2 linked regions of the Tamandua tetradactyla genome follow. The main gene of each other region encodes a partner of the protein of the gene in region 2 in a complex. Links are inferred from orthologs where the notes say so. Each region holds a gene or a part of one and is shown on either strand. Other genes may lie near its edges.

The links. Proteins that work in one complex are often made in the same cells at the same time.
Region 1: MED19 (region 2) and MED31 share a complex: the UniProt entries of both Homo sapiens proteins name them as parts of the mediator complex. The link is inferred for Tamandua tetradactyla from reciprocal best matches to the Homo sapiens genes MED19 and MED31.

What each region holds. Positions count from the first base shown.
Region 1 is NC_135332.1:58,835,552-58,843,247, forward strand, and holds the start of MED31 (mediator of RNA polymerase II transcription subunit 31), read left to right. Parts: upstream 1-4,647; 5' UTR 4,648-5,011; coding exon 5,012-5,039; intron 5,040-5,858; coding exon 5,859-5,936; intron 5,937-6,219; coding exon 6,220-6,316; intron 6,317-7,696. Other genes in the region: C6H17orf100 (uncharacterized protein C17orf100 homolog), read right to left, coding at 4,131-4,499. UniProt on the Homo sapiens protein: Component of the Mediator complex, a coactivator involved in the regulated transcription of nearly all RNA polymerase II-dependent genes.
Region 2 is NC_135335.1:19,872,519-19,880,254, forward strand, and holds the start of MED19 (mediator of RNA polymerase II transcription subunit 19), read left to right. Parts: upstream 1-4,692; 5' UTR 4,693-4,908; coding exon 4,909-5,125; exon of another isoform or gene 5,126-5,218; intron 5,219-7,736. Other genes in the region: TMX2 (thioredoxin-related transmembrane protein 2), read right to left, coding at 4,330-4,518. UniProt on the Homo sapiens protein: Component of the Mediator complex, a coactivator involved in the regulated transcription of nearly all RNA polymerase II-dependent genes.

The DNA.
Region 1 (7,696 bases), on a different chromosome or scaffold from region 2:
TCCATGACACACCATGTAGGAACTCACTCCACGGATGATTTTGGATGACCGGGATCTCATAATCAATGAACAGAGACCCTTTGGCAAACATTTCTCTAACCTTGAGAGAAAATAACAAACAAGATCAAGACGCTGCACTGGAAAGCAAAGATTGGTTCTAAATACCGTAGGATCAGTGATCAGATGCTCTGCTCCTCAGCACTTCAGGACACGCTCTAAGTCCTTTGATCAATGATACGCTAAAGATGAAGAGAACAAGGTTACATGTTAGGGTTCTGACAGAACTACTGATGATCATCTAAATGAAGTGTCACACTTGGAAGAAGGTATGGCAAAAACTATAGATTGGCTTACTCAGCACCAATTCCTAATCACATTCTTTCCCATGGAAGCTAGAAAGCTTGATTTTCCTAGCCTCCCTTGTAGCTAAGGGTAGTCTTATGATCCAGTTCTAGCCAATGAGATTTAAACAGTAAATAAGGCAAAGCCTTGCTAGGAGAAAATCCTTGGCTCCTTCCCTCATCCCTTTTGTCTATTTTGAATGCAGAGGTGAGAACTGGAGATAAACAGAAGTATCTCGTAATCATAAGGTAGTAAATCTTAAGGCAAAAGCTAATGAACTAGGGATGGTAAAACTGAAAAATATGAACAGGTTGGATCCACAAAAGCATTTTGGGATGAGACACTAGCCTAGATGGTCTATCTCAGGCTTCTTATTGTGTGAGACAAATGAATTCCTATTTATTTCAGCCACTTTGGGGCAGGTCTTCTGTTATTTGTAGCCATATGATTCTAACAGACAGATAAGTGCTTACAGAAGCTGTTGGTGCGATAAGCAGAGAGGAAAAAGGTTGTTCATTTAAAGACTGAGGAGGTGATGGTGAAAAGGCCAAGTCAAGTATCCAGGGCCTGGATACCTGTGCTAGCCATGCTGAGGTGGGAAACAGAAATAATAGAGGAACAGGAATCCTAGTAAATTTAGATGAGAACTTCAGTAAAATTCCTTGCTGGTTAGACTCTCGATTCTCCTCATGGCTTGTGTGGCCTGGGGAAAGAGTATTTGATTAATGGTATCTTGCATTTCAAGTATTTTCAACAGCATAGCAAAGACATGCTGAATTTTGCAAGCTGCCCTTAGCTTATAAACAAATGAGTGAATTCTGAGGAGAATGAGGACTGACTCCTTCCTTAGAAGGATTTTTACTTGCATAGTTTTTCAAACTAACCTGGTTGGAAATAACTGAAGGGAAATCACAATTATTATCTTCTGCAATAAATCCGAAGGATTATTAGATCAAGCCATTACAAACTTTCTTGGCTAAGCATGGAGGGAGAGTATTGCTCTTTGCTCTTTATTCTACCCACATGGTGCCACATCACAAATACAACAGCATCCTTGTTTCTGTGGAGCTTCCAAAAGAGGACAATATGAGGAGGAAGACACACAGTATGGGTAACACACACTTAAAATATATAGCAGGTACATTAAAAATCATCACAAAAAAGACATATGCTTCTTCAACTTACAGGATAATTTTAAAGCTGGAGAACTTGCTGTAAAAAACAGCATGTATGGTCAATATACTGTCACATCCTTTTCCTTCCCCATGTCTCACCTTTTTTGATACTTTCTGCCCTGTATGTCATTTTGGATTTCAGCTTTGAAACATGAATAAATGAATTTGGGAGGAAGAGACTTAGAAGAAACACTTATGAAATAAGAATAGCGAAAATAAAGAAGGTATTGGATCCCATATCCTTCCAAGAAAAACAATCATCTAGTAACCAGAATCTGGCTTTTTCACAGCAGCCTTCTTTGCTATGGGGGCTGGGGCTGTCCTGTGCATCGTAGGATGTCTAACTGCATCTCTGACTACTAGATGCACCCCACTCCTTCAGTTATTGACTAACTGTTTCTAGACATGGATAAATGTCTTCTGAGGAACAAAACCACTCACAGTTGAGAGCCACCATCCTATATCCACTCTACACACAGAAGCCAGAAGGCTCTTTTAATAATGTAAATTGCATTATGCCACTGTCCTGCTGAAACCCTTCAATGTCTTCCCAATAACCTTGGAAGAAAATCTATGGCTTCCCTGGCAACGTGGGATATGACTCTCAGGGATGGGCCTAGTCCTGGCACCATGGGATTGACAATGCCTTCCTGACCAAAAGGGGGAAAGATTTGTAACAAATAAGGTATCAGTGGCTGAGATGGTTCAAATAGATTCCAGAGGCTACCCTGGAGGCTATTCTTACACAGGCTTCAGCTAGATATTGCTATTTATCATGGTTCGTTAAACCCCAATCAAACCATTACTGCCAATCCTAAAGAACACTTAGGGCTTTATCTGAGATTCTACAAAGGTTCCATGCAGTACGATTATTTTCCAGAAATCTACAACCTCCAAATAGGTTCCTAGGCCAGAGAAGTCCTAAAACCTAGAGGGCCAGCCTTTCCAAGAACAACTAGTTTCATCCCCCTATCCCATACTGTCAACACTCCTTTCCAATATGAAAAAGTTAGAATACGCATAACCCAAAACCCCTAAAGATTTGGAGAAGATCAGAGGAGGAGGAGGAGTTATAACAGAGACAATAGGATTTAACAAATGAGTATGACTGCTGAATCATTATATTGATATTTCTTTTAGTCTCCAGTGTCTTGTAGTAGCTAGAAGGCAAAACCTAAAATTGTGGAACTATAACCCATATCAAACTCTGAAATCTGTTCTATGACTAATTGGTGCAGCATGCTTTGAAATTTATTGCTTTTTTCTATATGTTATATTTCACAATATAAGAAAAAAAAATCCATGGTTCACAGAACCCTACTTCTCTAAATTCATCAATCTTCCATGCCACCGTTCCCCATGCTTACTAAGCTCCAGATACACATTCTTTTTGTTCTCTAAACATGCCAAGATTGTTTTCACCCAATGTTTTGCACTTGCTGTTCCCTCTGCCATAAGAATGCATTCTCTCCAGTCTCTGTAGGGCTCACTGTTCACCCATACAAATCTCAAATGTTGAGTCCTCTGCAAAGCCTTCCTTGACCATCCAACCTAAAGGACACTCTTACTCTCATTCCGTAGCCCACTACTCATTTATTTCCTTCATGGTGCTAATCAAAACAGAAAACTGTCTTTAATCATAGGTTTGTTGTCTGACTCTTCACCAGCATGTAAACTCCACGAGAAGCTTGTCTGTCTTGTTCAGTGCTACTACCCAAGTGCTTAGTATAATGCCTGGCATGGAAGTACTCAATACATATTCCTCCCTTTCACTTTCCTCGAATCTGGATCAAGTTTCAATGACCTCTCACTTTACCTTCTAAGATCATTCTTGAATTTTTACTGGTGCCTACTTTCATTTTTTTTTAATATGCTGTATGGGGGATCATATTTCATACTTTTTCCTTATGAGTATTCAGTTATTACAGCACCATTTGTTGAAAAAAAGAATTTTTGGGGGGTGGGGGGAGTGCACGGGCTGAGACCTGCATGGTAGGCGAGAATTCTACCACTGAACTATCCTGGCACTCCACCCCTTACCTTCGATTTTTAATACATTTTGACCTATATGGGTATGGTACCATGAACAAGAACTTAGTATAAAAAAATAATTAATCACTTATTCGGAAACATAAACAAAGGCTAATAAAAAAAAGGCTAATCAATTCATTTATGCGAGTCTGTTTCTCATCCTCAGGTTTTTAACAGGCATATAATGCTTCCACTAGTCATGATTTCAGTTCGGTCCCTTGTTCTGTATTTGAAGCTATGAAGGTCATTATCACTGAGTATGAATGTAAAACTCACCTGGCTTGGTAGCTCAAACCGCCTCTTTGTCCATTCAGTCCAATTAATACAGTGTCATAGGTCTGACAACTTCTTGTGCTGGCTTCAAGTTAAAATAGTTCACTGGGTCAAAAGCAGAAAGGTCCACAGTCAATAAATGTTGGCCAAGGCCAGAAACTGCAGTCTGCCTACTGCTGACGTTGATTTATGGGCTGTTTCATGAAAACAAGGATGATTGTTCACTTGGCAACTGAGTAGCTGGAACCCGGAGGCAATTCTGCTATGGCTACGCGCCATGGCCTCTTCATGTGGCCTTTGGTAGGCATTTCATCGCGTCATTTTTACATTCTGGCTGGCTGCCGGCTGGTCCCGCCGGGGAAGACTCTCTCCACGGTGCAGAGACGTCTCCATCCGCATAGACGAGGCCCTGACCTGACGGGAGGACGTTTCCGTGCGCTGTGAAGTGGTTTCCACATGCTGGGAGGCCACCTCCAGGAAGCAAAGAAGCCGTTTCCCAGAGGGGGAAAAGGTGGGTTCCTCGCTGTGACGCTGGCAGGTCTCCACCTGATGGGAAGACGTTCGCACCTGCCGAGAGGATGCCTCCACGCAGTGGGACGATGTCTCCACGTGGACCGTCGACGTCTCCTTGTAGCCGGCGGTCTCCACTCGGGGCTTTCCCCGATGGGGCGAGGCCATTCGAGGGTGTACTGCGGGCCAAGGAGGCCTCGGGAGGCCCCCCAGCCCAGTGAGTTCCCTCAGTTACGTCGGTGTGCTACGTCACAGGGCCCCATGGTAAGGAATGGCGTCATAATGACGTGTTACATCATCGCAGGCACAGTGGTGAAAGGTTACGTTATTGTCACAGGCGAGAATACATGACCCGATGACGCGGGAGCACGACAGTCCTGTGCGGGGCTGAGATTTCCCTTCAAAACCGTGGGCCCTCCCCCTCAGACGCTCCGTCAGGGGAGGCGGGGCGGGCTTCAGCTGGCTGGTGCACCTGCTCCCCGGCCTGGGAGACCTTGCGGGGGCGGGGCCGGGGCGGGGCAGGGATGGGCGGGGCCGCCCGCCTCCGAGCGAGGCTCCGCCCGCCCTGTATCCCACGCTGCCCCGGGACGGGAAGCTGAAGCGGTGACTTCCGGAGTCTGCCCTGCTGTTCTGGCCGGTTGCTTTGTTTGAGTAGTGGCTGTTTAGTGGCTTTGCTTGCAATGGCCGCTGCTGTCGCTATGGAGACTGGTAAGTGGCGCTCTGAGCATCGAGTCTTCGCAAATAGGACACTGTCCCGCTGGGCCTCCTGCCAGGCCTTTCACCCCCGGAAGGATTTAAGTTCTGACCAGAAGGGGCAATGGCCCTTGTAGCATCTAGGAAGGTCAAGGCGATGTTGCTTTTTCAGAGTTTCGTTTGTTCGCAAATCTTTTCTCCTTACTTCTCATCTAAGCAGCGACCCTCCAGCCTTCTAGGCGTGGGCGAAGCTAAGGAAGAGGGCTTATATCTTAGTCTCTTGATTAGTTTTCTAAGTCTCAAGTTTGCATAAGTTTGGAATATCGTCAACACACGTGTATTTTGCTGTTGTTGCTTCTCACATATGCACATGCTCGTGAACTTTCACATTCCGTAGTTTCTTTTTCAGCTTGCATTCTGATTTTTTCTTTATTAATTTAGCTTTTTAATTAGCTGTTTACAATTATTGTTATAGCGTATTATTAAAATAAGAAGAGGCAGGTTTACAACCTACCCTGATGATCCCTGTTATAATCCTTACATAGTGGCTCCTCAGGTGGTAGTTATCCTGCCCCTTGTGCATTGTTTTCTTTGCTAATTTCGCTTTCACTTTGGAAAAATTCCAAACTTAATTAGGGCTGTAGTTTTCTTAGACTTCTAAGGAAGCTATATCTCCTCCATCATCCAGTTTGAGAAAACCATCACACGCCCTTCTTTATACAGAAATGTATCTCAGTATTAGTCAGGTATCTTTACTGCTGTTTTCCCCCCCTACAATTCAGTATTATATATAGTGAGTTTTTTGGGGGTGATTTTTGCTGTCTTCTCTCCTAGATGATGCTGGAAATCGACTTCGTTTTCAGCTGGAGTTGGAATTTGTGCAATGTTTAGCCAACCCAAATTACCTTAATTGTAAGTTGTTGAGCACCTCATTAAATTGAGTAGCTGATATTAATGATTTCTGACAGAAAAGTTGCAATTCATAGATTTATTTTTATACATTCTCAACATAAGTAGGATTACTGATATACTCCTATATTGATACAATTAAGCAAACTGGAACTTGTGTTTTGAATTCAGTGTATGTTGGTGGAGATGTTATGTAAATAGAATTCTTTATGTCAGGGGTCACAAACCAGTGGTCCAAGGATTGGTTTGACCTACATATGTATTTTTTTTTTTTTATGCCTTTCAGTTCTTGCCCAAAGAGGTTACTTCAAAGACAAAGCTTTTGTTAATTATCTTAAGTACTTGCTTTACTGGAAAGAACCAGAGTATGCCAAGTATCTAAAGTAAGTTTAATTTTTATAATCCTAAATAAGTGTGTATATATTTTACTATACTCCAAGACACTGATATTTAACAGACTTCTTCATTTCACATTGGAAAAAACATATTTTGCATTTTCCACTTCTTTTAGTGGCAATCATCTTAATAGAAAACACCCTCATCTCTAAAACTTGGATTGCTTTCCAATTATCCCTGCTTCCATTCTTCCTTCCTTCCACCCCAAATCAAACAAAGCAAAACGTGTTTTCTCCATAGAAGCCAACTTGATTTCTTAAAAATGTAAATTGGAACGTGTTGTTTTCTTGTTTAAAACCTTTCAGTGGCATTCTGTTGCTTGCAGAATAAACTACATTCTCATTTTTTGACTTATGATCTTATGTTATCTGGCCTCATCTTGTCTGACCTTACCTTGGAATACTCACTCCATTTCCCTGGGTTTCTGATCCCACAGAACACACAATCTGTAAATCCAATGATATAGCTATAGGTTGAAAATTAAAGAACACAGGAAGGGGCATTTGTGGGGGTTTCCTGGAAGAGGTAACCTTACCTATTAGGGCCTGCCATATGCCAAGGGCTTTGCTAAGTGCTTCATGTCCATGATCTCATTAATATACGTATATAATACATACACATCTAATTTATTGACCAATCAGGTTGAGCAGCAGACACTTTTGGCATATCATAACCACAAATCTGTTCCCTTTCAATGGTAAAAAATAAATCTTGAATTCACACCTCTGCTTTTTCTCAGCCATGTAACCAAAAAGCAATAGTGAAAGATTTTTCTTTTTTAAATAAATACAAGTTTGAAAGGAAAGTATTTCATACTTACTCCTTATCCCCAAGTCACTTTTCTGATGTGTGCCCAATAACAGCTAATTCATGGAGTGTAAGTCCTCCAACTGCCTTTGGGACTCTGTGTACCTTACTTCCTCTTCATAATCAATTGTTTATTTAATACTCCAAAGAAAATACTTTTTAATTAGATTGCAACATGTTGTATGTCCGTACATCTACAGACTCAGTGTTGGGAGAAGCCTTATACACCATCAAGTACAATCTCACCTGCAACATTACTGAGAAATCATCTGAACTCTGGCGAGTTCCAGTGGTACTTCACAAAGAGGCAGTCAGTTCCTTGTTGGCCAGATACAATTGTTAGAAAGTTCTTCCTTATATTGAGTAAAATATACCTACATGTAGCTTCAACACATTATTCCCAATTTTGTGCCTGGATTATTCCTGGACCCAGTCTATGCCCTCCTGAGACTTGTACTTCAGATATTTAAATTCAGGAGAGGTTGCACATTGACTCCTGTTGAATATTTCATTCAGTCTGCATAAGGTTTTAACCTTTAAAGAATTGTCAGTATTTAAAA
Region 2 (7,736 bases):
AAAAAAAGTAAAAATTGAATATTAAACTATGCAGTTTTTTAAAATTAGGCAACGGTATAGAGAGAAATTAATTATGTAAATGGTCCTGACGTACTAAAATTTATCTTTTAGTCCCATTTTTATAAAAATGGCATAAAATATAATTAAAAAGTAGGATCTTTTTTAAATTAAAAAAAATTAAGAACAAAAACATTAACATATAATTCCGTTCTACATATATATTCAGTAATTCTCAATATCATCACATAGTTGCATATTCCTCGTTTCTTAGAACATTGGCATCCATTCAGAAAAAGAAACAAAAAGACAATAGAAAAATAAAATGAGCACAGGAAAGAAAAAAAAAAGATTATACCTACTATACCCCTTACCCCTCACTTTCATTGATCACAAGCATTTCAAACTAAATTTATCTTAGCATTTGTTCGCCCTATTATTTATTTTTATTCCATATGTTCTACTCCTCTGTTGACAAGGTAGATAAAAGGAGCATCAGACACAAGGTTTTCATAATCACACAGTCACATTGTGACAGCTGTATCATTATTCAATCATCCTCAAGAAACATGGCTACTGGAACACAGCTCTACATTTTCAGGCAGTTCCCTCCACCGGCTCCATTACATCTTGAATAACAAGATGATATCTACTTGATGCATAAGAGTAACCTCCAGGATAACCTCTCAACTCTGTTTGGAATCTCTCAGCCATTGCCACTTTGTCTCATTTCCCTCTTCCCCCTTTTGGTCAAGAAGGTTTTCTCAATCCCTTGATGCTGAGTCTCAGCTCACCCTAGGATCTCTGTCCCACGTTGCCATGAAGGTCCACACCCCTGGGAGTCATGTCCCACGTAGAGAGGGGTCGGGCGGTGAGTTGCTTGTTGTGTTGGCTGGAGAGAGAGGCCACATCTGAGCAACAAAAGAGGCTCTCTTGGGGGTGACTCTTAGGCCTAAATTTTAAGTAGACTTGACCTATCCTTTTCAGGGTTAAGCTTCATATGAACAAACCCCAAGACTGGGGGCTCAGCCTATAGCTTTGGTTGTCCATACTGCTTGTGAGAATATCAAGAATTCAACTTGGAGAAGTTGAATTTCTCCCCATTCTCACCATTCCCTGAAGGGGGCTTTGCAAATACTTCTCCACTTACTGATCGAATCGCTCTGGGATTCATCTGGGCATCTAAAAGTAGGATCTTTTGAAATAGCATGGATATATTAGAGCTAATACTGTTTGAAAAAGGAAAGAAGAAAAACATAAGTCATGTGAGTGTAGGGAGCTAGAAAAATAAGACAAAACTTAATACAGAGAAGGCTGAGTTTAATAAATGAGTGCTGAATCATTATGCTGATATTTCTTTTAGCCTCTAGTAGCTTAGAGCAGCTAAAAATCAAAACCTAAAATTGTAGAATTGGATCACATACCAAACTCTGAAATCTGTTCTACAACTAATTGTTATGATGTACTTTGAAATTTATTGCTTTTATGTACATATGTTATTTAAAGAGGAGGAACTGTAACCCATACCAAACTTTAAAATCTGTTCTATAACTACTTGTTAAAATGTACTGGGAAAGAGCAATCTGACAGTGAATAAAGAACTATTTGCAAAGTCTCCTTGGAGGGAATGGGGAGAAGGGGAAAAATTCAACTTCCCCATTTGGAGAATTCCTGATATTCTCGTTAGTGGGGACAACCAAATCAATAGCTTGAGCCCTCAATCTTGAGGTCTGCCCCAATGAAACTTATCCCTGCAAATGATAGGCTAAGTCTACTTAAAATTATGCCTAAAAGTCATCCCCAGAGAACCTATTTTGTTGCTCACATATGGCCTCTCTCTCTCTCTCTCTAGACAACATAGCAAGTGAATTCACTGCCCTCCCCACTCTAAGTGGGGCATGACTCCCAGGGGTATAAACCTCCCTCACAATGTGGGATAGAAATCCTGGGATGAGCTGGGACTCAGCATCAAGGGATTGAGAAAACCTTCTCAACCAAAAGGGGGGAAAAGAGAAATAGACAAAATAAAGTGTCAATGGCTGAGAGATTTCAAACAGAGTTGAGAAGTTATCCTGGAGGTTATTCTTACGCATTATATATATTAGAATGGCTAGAGGGAAGGACCTGAAACTGTAGAGTGTGTTCCAGTAGCCATGTTTCTTGAAGATGATTGTATAATGAAATAGTTTTTGCAATATGACTGTGTGGTTGTGAAAACCTTGTGTCTGATGCTCCTTTTATCAACGGTATGGACAGATGAGTAAAAAATATAGATAAAAAATAAACAAATAAGGGAAACAAAGGCTATAATAAAACTGAGTAGACTGAAACATTAGTTAGTGGTCAATAAGAGGGAAGAGTAAGAGGTATGGTATGTATGAGTTTTTTCTTTTATACTTCCTTAGATAGAGAGATGCAAATGTTCAAAAAAGTGATCATGGTGATAAATACCCATCTGTGGGATGATACTGTGAGCCACTGAATGTACACCATATATAGAATGCTTGCATGTCAAGAATGTTTGTACGTTTGTTTGCTGTGTACAATAAAAATATTTTTAAAAATGTACTTGGAAATATATTGCTTTTTTTTGTACATATATTTCACACACAAAAAAAAAGTTAAAAAAAAAATTTCAAGATGAGCCACCCTCGTCAGAACATAGATGCTACTATATACCGGCAGGCATAGGGTTTTTTTTGTTTGCTTCTGTTTTTGTTTTAGTTTTCAAAGCACTCTTCAATGAGGATAGATTCCAGAGTTTGTCATGGGCTACCATACCATCACCTCAGATTTTTCCTACTACTTGCTCCAGAACATTGGAGGCTAGAAGGAATATTTTTTTACCATCACAACTAACCTTTTCTGTGTGTGTGAAAAATAATACATAGCAAAAAAGCAATAAATTTCAAATCACATTGCCTCATTAGTTGTAGAACAGATTTCAGAGTTTGGTATGGGTTCACAGTTGTAAGTTTTTACTTCTAGCTGCTCTAAGATACTGGAGACTAAAAGAAATACCAACATAATGATTCGACAATCATACTTGTTTGTTAAACCCTACCTTCTCTATATAGTTCCACCATACCTTTGATCTTTCTCCCACTCTTTAGGGGTAATTTGGGCTACGTCCAGTGTAACTTTTTCATGTTGGAAGGGGCTGTCTATACTATGGGGTAGGGAGATGGGTGTAGCTGACATCCGGAGAGACTGGGGCCCTCTAGGTTTCAGGACTTATCTGGTCCAGGGATCCATCTGGAGGTTGCAGTTTTCTGGAAAGCTACCCTAGTACATGGAACCTTTGTAGAACCTTATATATTGCCCTAGGTGTTCTTTAGGATTGGCTGTAATAGTTTTGGTTGAGGTTTGGCAATTTATGACAGGCAGCAATGCCTAACTGAGGTTTGTTTAAGAATGAGTTCCAGAGTAGCCTCTGCACTTTATTTGAACTCTCTCAGCTATTGATACTGTATTTGTCACACTTCTTTTCCCCTTTTTGGTCAGGATGGCATTGTTGATCCCTCCACACCAGGGAGACACTCACCCCTGGACGTCATGACATAGGTTTTAACTCATTTTTCTGAGCAGTACTTCCAAGCCTACCCAGGAAGCACCACAGGAGCTTGAGATAGATTTCTCTTTGATGTTTGTTGTTGTTGTTGTTTTTTATTTTTATTTTTTTTAACAATTCCTTTACAATAGGTCTAACAATTTTATTCATCCTTGCAGTTCAGGATCCAGTATGCCTGGCATATATAGGTTGCATCCTGGAAATGTTTACTGAATTAAGCGGTGACCTAATGTGTAGGTACTATGGCGAAAGAGTGGTTTTAACTTCCAGGCACTCACTAGCTGTAAGACTTGGGACTAGCTGCCTAACCACGATGAGGTCAATTCCCTCGTCAGTAAAACGGAAATACTACTACTTGCCTTACCGACCTCGGTAGCTCCTTAAGTTGTTTTTAAAAAGTGGGCAGCAAAGAGCTCTGAGAAGGGGAAAGCGTTGCACACGAGGAGAAAGGAAGACCACTGATAAGCGTGAACGATGAGATGGAAAGACACGGTGAGATGGAAAAACCCTGGGGCTGTTATGCAGTACGTGGGACCGACCGGCTGCGCGACCCCGAGAAGACCACGCCTCTCTGTTTTCCCACCTTGGAAGACGTAGAGATCGCGACGCAATGGCAGTCAAGGCCCTACGCTCTAAGTCCTTCAGTCCGCTACAGGCTCGGGACCTCGGGTATCCTCAGAAAGATGAACCCCGGGGCTCCCAGACGCGCTCGCTGGGGTAGGGAAAGTCAAGGTCGCGGGTGCCAGGCGGGGGTCGCTCACCCAGTCAAAGTCACAAGGGTTACCATCTTCGCGTTGCGTAGGGAGGCCGCTGCATACTGGCGGGAGCTTCCTCACGAGTAGGAAGGCGGCAGAAAGCAGGGCTGACAGAAGGTAGTAGGGTCGGGCCAGCCATCGTGAAAGTCGCGGCACCGAATACACCAGAGCAATTAAAGGTGCGAGGACCGCCATCTTCCCGGCCCTTGCGGCGCCCGCCGCTCACCGGCCGTGGTAGGTTTGGTCCCGGCTCCCCTCTCCTTGGTACTTCCATTGGGCCGAGTTCCGGATGCGCCGCCCCTTGACCCGGAAGTAGGTCCAGATTGGCTTCTATGGCGCATAAAAGGCGATGTGAGCCACTATTGGCCAATCTGGCAATCCCTCTTCCTACCTAAGTCGTTTTACTGGATCTGAAACTGTAACCAGTGGAGCTATCAGAAAATTTAATAAGGTTAGCTAGCACTTCCCGAACGTTCCGTGAAAGCGACGGAAGTGGTCGCCGGAAGAAGGCAGGCGGGCACAGAGGCATCCAGTGCTAAGCGGCTCCGAGAGTCGGAGGGCGTTTCCCGAGGCGCCGCTGGGGCCATGGAGAATTTCACGGCGCTGTTCGGAGCTCAGGCTGATCCACCACCACCCCCATCCGCGCTCGGATACGGACCCGGAAAGCCTCCACCCCCGCCTCCGCCCCCTCCGGGAGGGGGACCCGGTACCGTTCCGCCCCCTACGGCGGCTACGGCCCCTCCCGGCGCCGACAAGTCAGGGGCTGGTTGTGGCCCCTTTTACCTGATGCGGGAACTGCCAGGTGGGTGCTAGGCATGGCCGAAACCAGCCAATCAGATCATAGAGAGCGTAGTGGGCGTGCCTGTCAGCTGGCTGGTGCCAGGTAACCGAGGAATCGCGTACCCTGACAGTGGAGCTCAAAGCCGAAAGATCTCTGAGGATCAGCCCCCAAAGCGATGGCATGGATTCATGGGATGGGGAAAGGGGGTTGTATCTTCCACGCCACATCCGGCCTGTGTCCCTGACACTAGTTTATGTTTCCCTAAAAATGGCCCAGGGTTTGAGTTTGTATCTGGAGAGGCCTGATTTAACATCCCAGGAAACCTAAGTTTTCAGTTTCAAGTCGGCTACAATCTTGTTGGTTTGGGGTAAGTTGATTTCCTTCCTAGGGCCTCGGCATTTCTTCAGCTGTGCGAAGAAGGGTTTGGAATTGAACCAGATTCTTTTAATGCAAAATTTTATTTTGTTGAGCACCCTACTGTGTACCAAGCACTTTTCTAAATGCTGAGGCTACAGCTGTGAACAAGACTGACAAAATCCTTACGTTTTTGAAGTTTACATTTCAGTGGGTAGACACATAAGTGAAATAATATAGTTAGTGATTAATGCCAGGAGGAGAAAATATGATAAAGAATGGAACAGGAGGAACTACTTTAGCTAGCGTGATCAGAGAAGTGCTCTCTGAGTAGATAAGATTGGAACGAAAATCAGCATGGAGAAAGGATAAGCCCTGCATGTGTGGAGAGAGGGGATAATTTTAAAAACATGGTATGAAAGCTAAATCTCTGATGTGAGAAAGATTTGGACTAGCAGAAGACAAATTGGGCCCAGTTAAGTGAACAAGGAGAATAGTGGTAGGAAGTGAAAGTGGGAGAGGTAGGCAGAGGCCTTTACACCATAATGTAAGATTTTAAGTTCTAGGGGATGCCGTTGTGGATTTTAACACAAGGGAATGTCATGATCTAATGTATTTCTTTTTAAATCACTTAAGCAGTCATGTGAAGAATGGAAAGTGGGGAAGAGTTGATGGTTTAGACTAGAGCTAGGGCAGTAGAGGATAGAAGTGAATAGCAGCAGAATAAATTTTAAAGGTAGCGCTAACAAAAGATGGATTTAAGTAAGAAATTGATAATGACTTCTAAGTTTTTAGCTTGAATAACTGGATATATGGTAGTGCTGAGACTGGTTGGAGGGTTTTGAAATAAAGTCTTTTTGGACATAAGTGTCTGAGAAGCTTTTTTGTTCAGCCCAGGTCCTACTACCACATTATAGTTGAGGGAGATGATAATAACAATTATCAGTGCAGTACTTTATGCTATAACATTTAATATAGAACAGTCCCTTGACTGTTATCAGCATTTTATAGTTGAAAAACTAAAGCTTAGAGAGGTGAGCCTCCAGCAGTTTCTTTCATCTTTCCTTTGTCTTACTCATTTTGACTGTACCTATATATACATCAATGAGTGGACAGATACGAAACTTCTATTCTGGGAAACTACTGGGTATGTGGTAATGACAGCATGTGGTGGGAAAGGGAGAAAAAGTAGTATGTCTGGTCCTTGTTTTTAAGGAGATTTTTTTAGTTGTAGATGTGAAATATGTGGTTTAGGGATAAAGTAAGGGAGTGTATTTCTAGTCAAAGCCAATCTCATTACTTTGTGGTCAAATTTCACATATATAGCAACTAAAAATAATACCATTGCAAACGATATTGAGAACTACATGAAGGTTTTCAAAATGTGTTCCTTATCATCCACAGTGAGAGCAACAGTAAAATGTGACTTGAGATGGACCATGAAGAATTCATATTGGTGAAGAAAATTGGGAAGAAATTTCCTAAAAGGAAACACTATGAGGGGTGGGTTTTTCTTTTCAGGAGATGATAGAGACTTATCTTGTTGACTGAAAAATCTTGCATAGGCGAGTAGTGATAAGGCCTCAAAGATAAATTGGGATAAGATGCACTTAGTCGTCAGTGCCAAAGAAATTTAACCTTTTCCCTGAAGGTAATAGGAAACCACTGAGATTTTTGAACTGAGGAATACAGCTTTTTAAAAATGTCTAGAAACCTTGAGATTTTGTTGGTTTGTCCAGAGTGATGCCCCGATAAATCCCAAAGTGATTTGAACAGTGAATAAAAAAGTATTTGCAAAGTCCCCTTGGGGGAATGGTGAGAAAGGGGGAAAATTCAACTTCCCCAAGTTGAATTCTTGATATCTCACAAGCAGTGGGGACAACCAAAGCAATAGGCTGAGCCCCCGATCTTGGGGTTTGTTCATATGAAAATTAACCCCACGAAGGATAGGTCAAGCCTACCTAAAATTAGGCCTAAGAGTCACCCCCAAGAGATCCTCTTCTGTTGCTCAAATGTGGCCTCTCTCTCCAGCCAACACAACAAACAAACTCACCGCCCTCCCCATCTCTACGTGGGACATGACTCCCAGGGGTGTGGACCTTCCTGGCAACGTGGGACAGAATGAGCTGAGACTCAGCATCAAGGGATTGAAAAAACCTTCTCGACCAAAAGGGAGAAGAGTGAAATGAGGCAAAATAAAGTGTCAATGGCTGAGAGATTCCAAACAGAGTCAAGAGCTTATCCTGGAGGTTATTCTTACACATTAAATAGATACCAC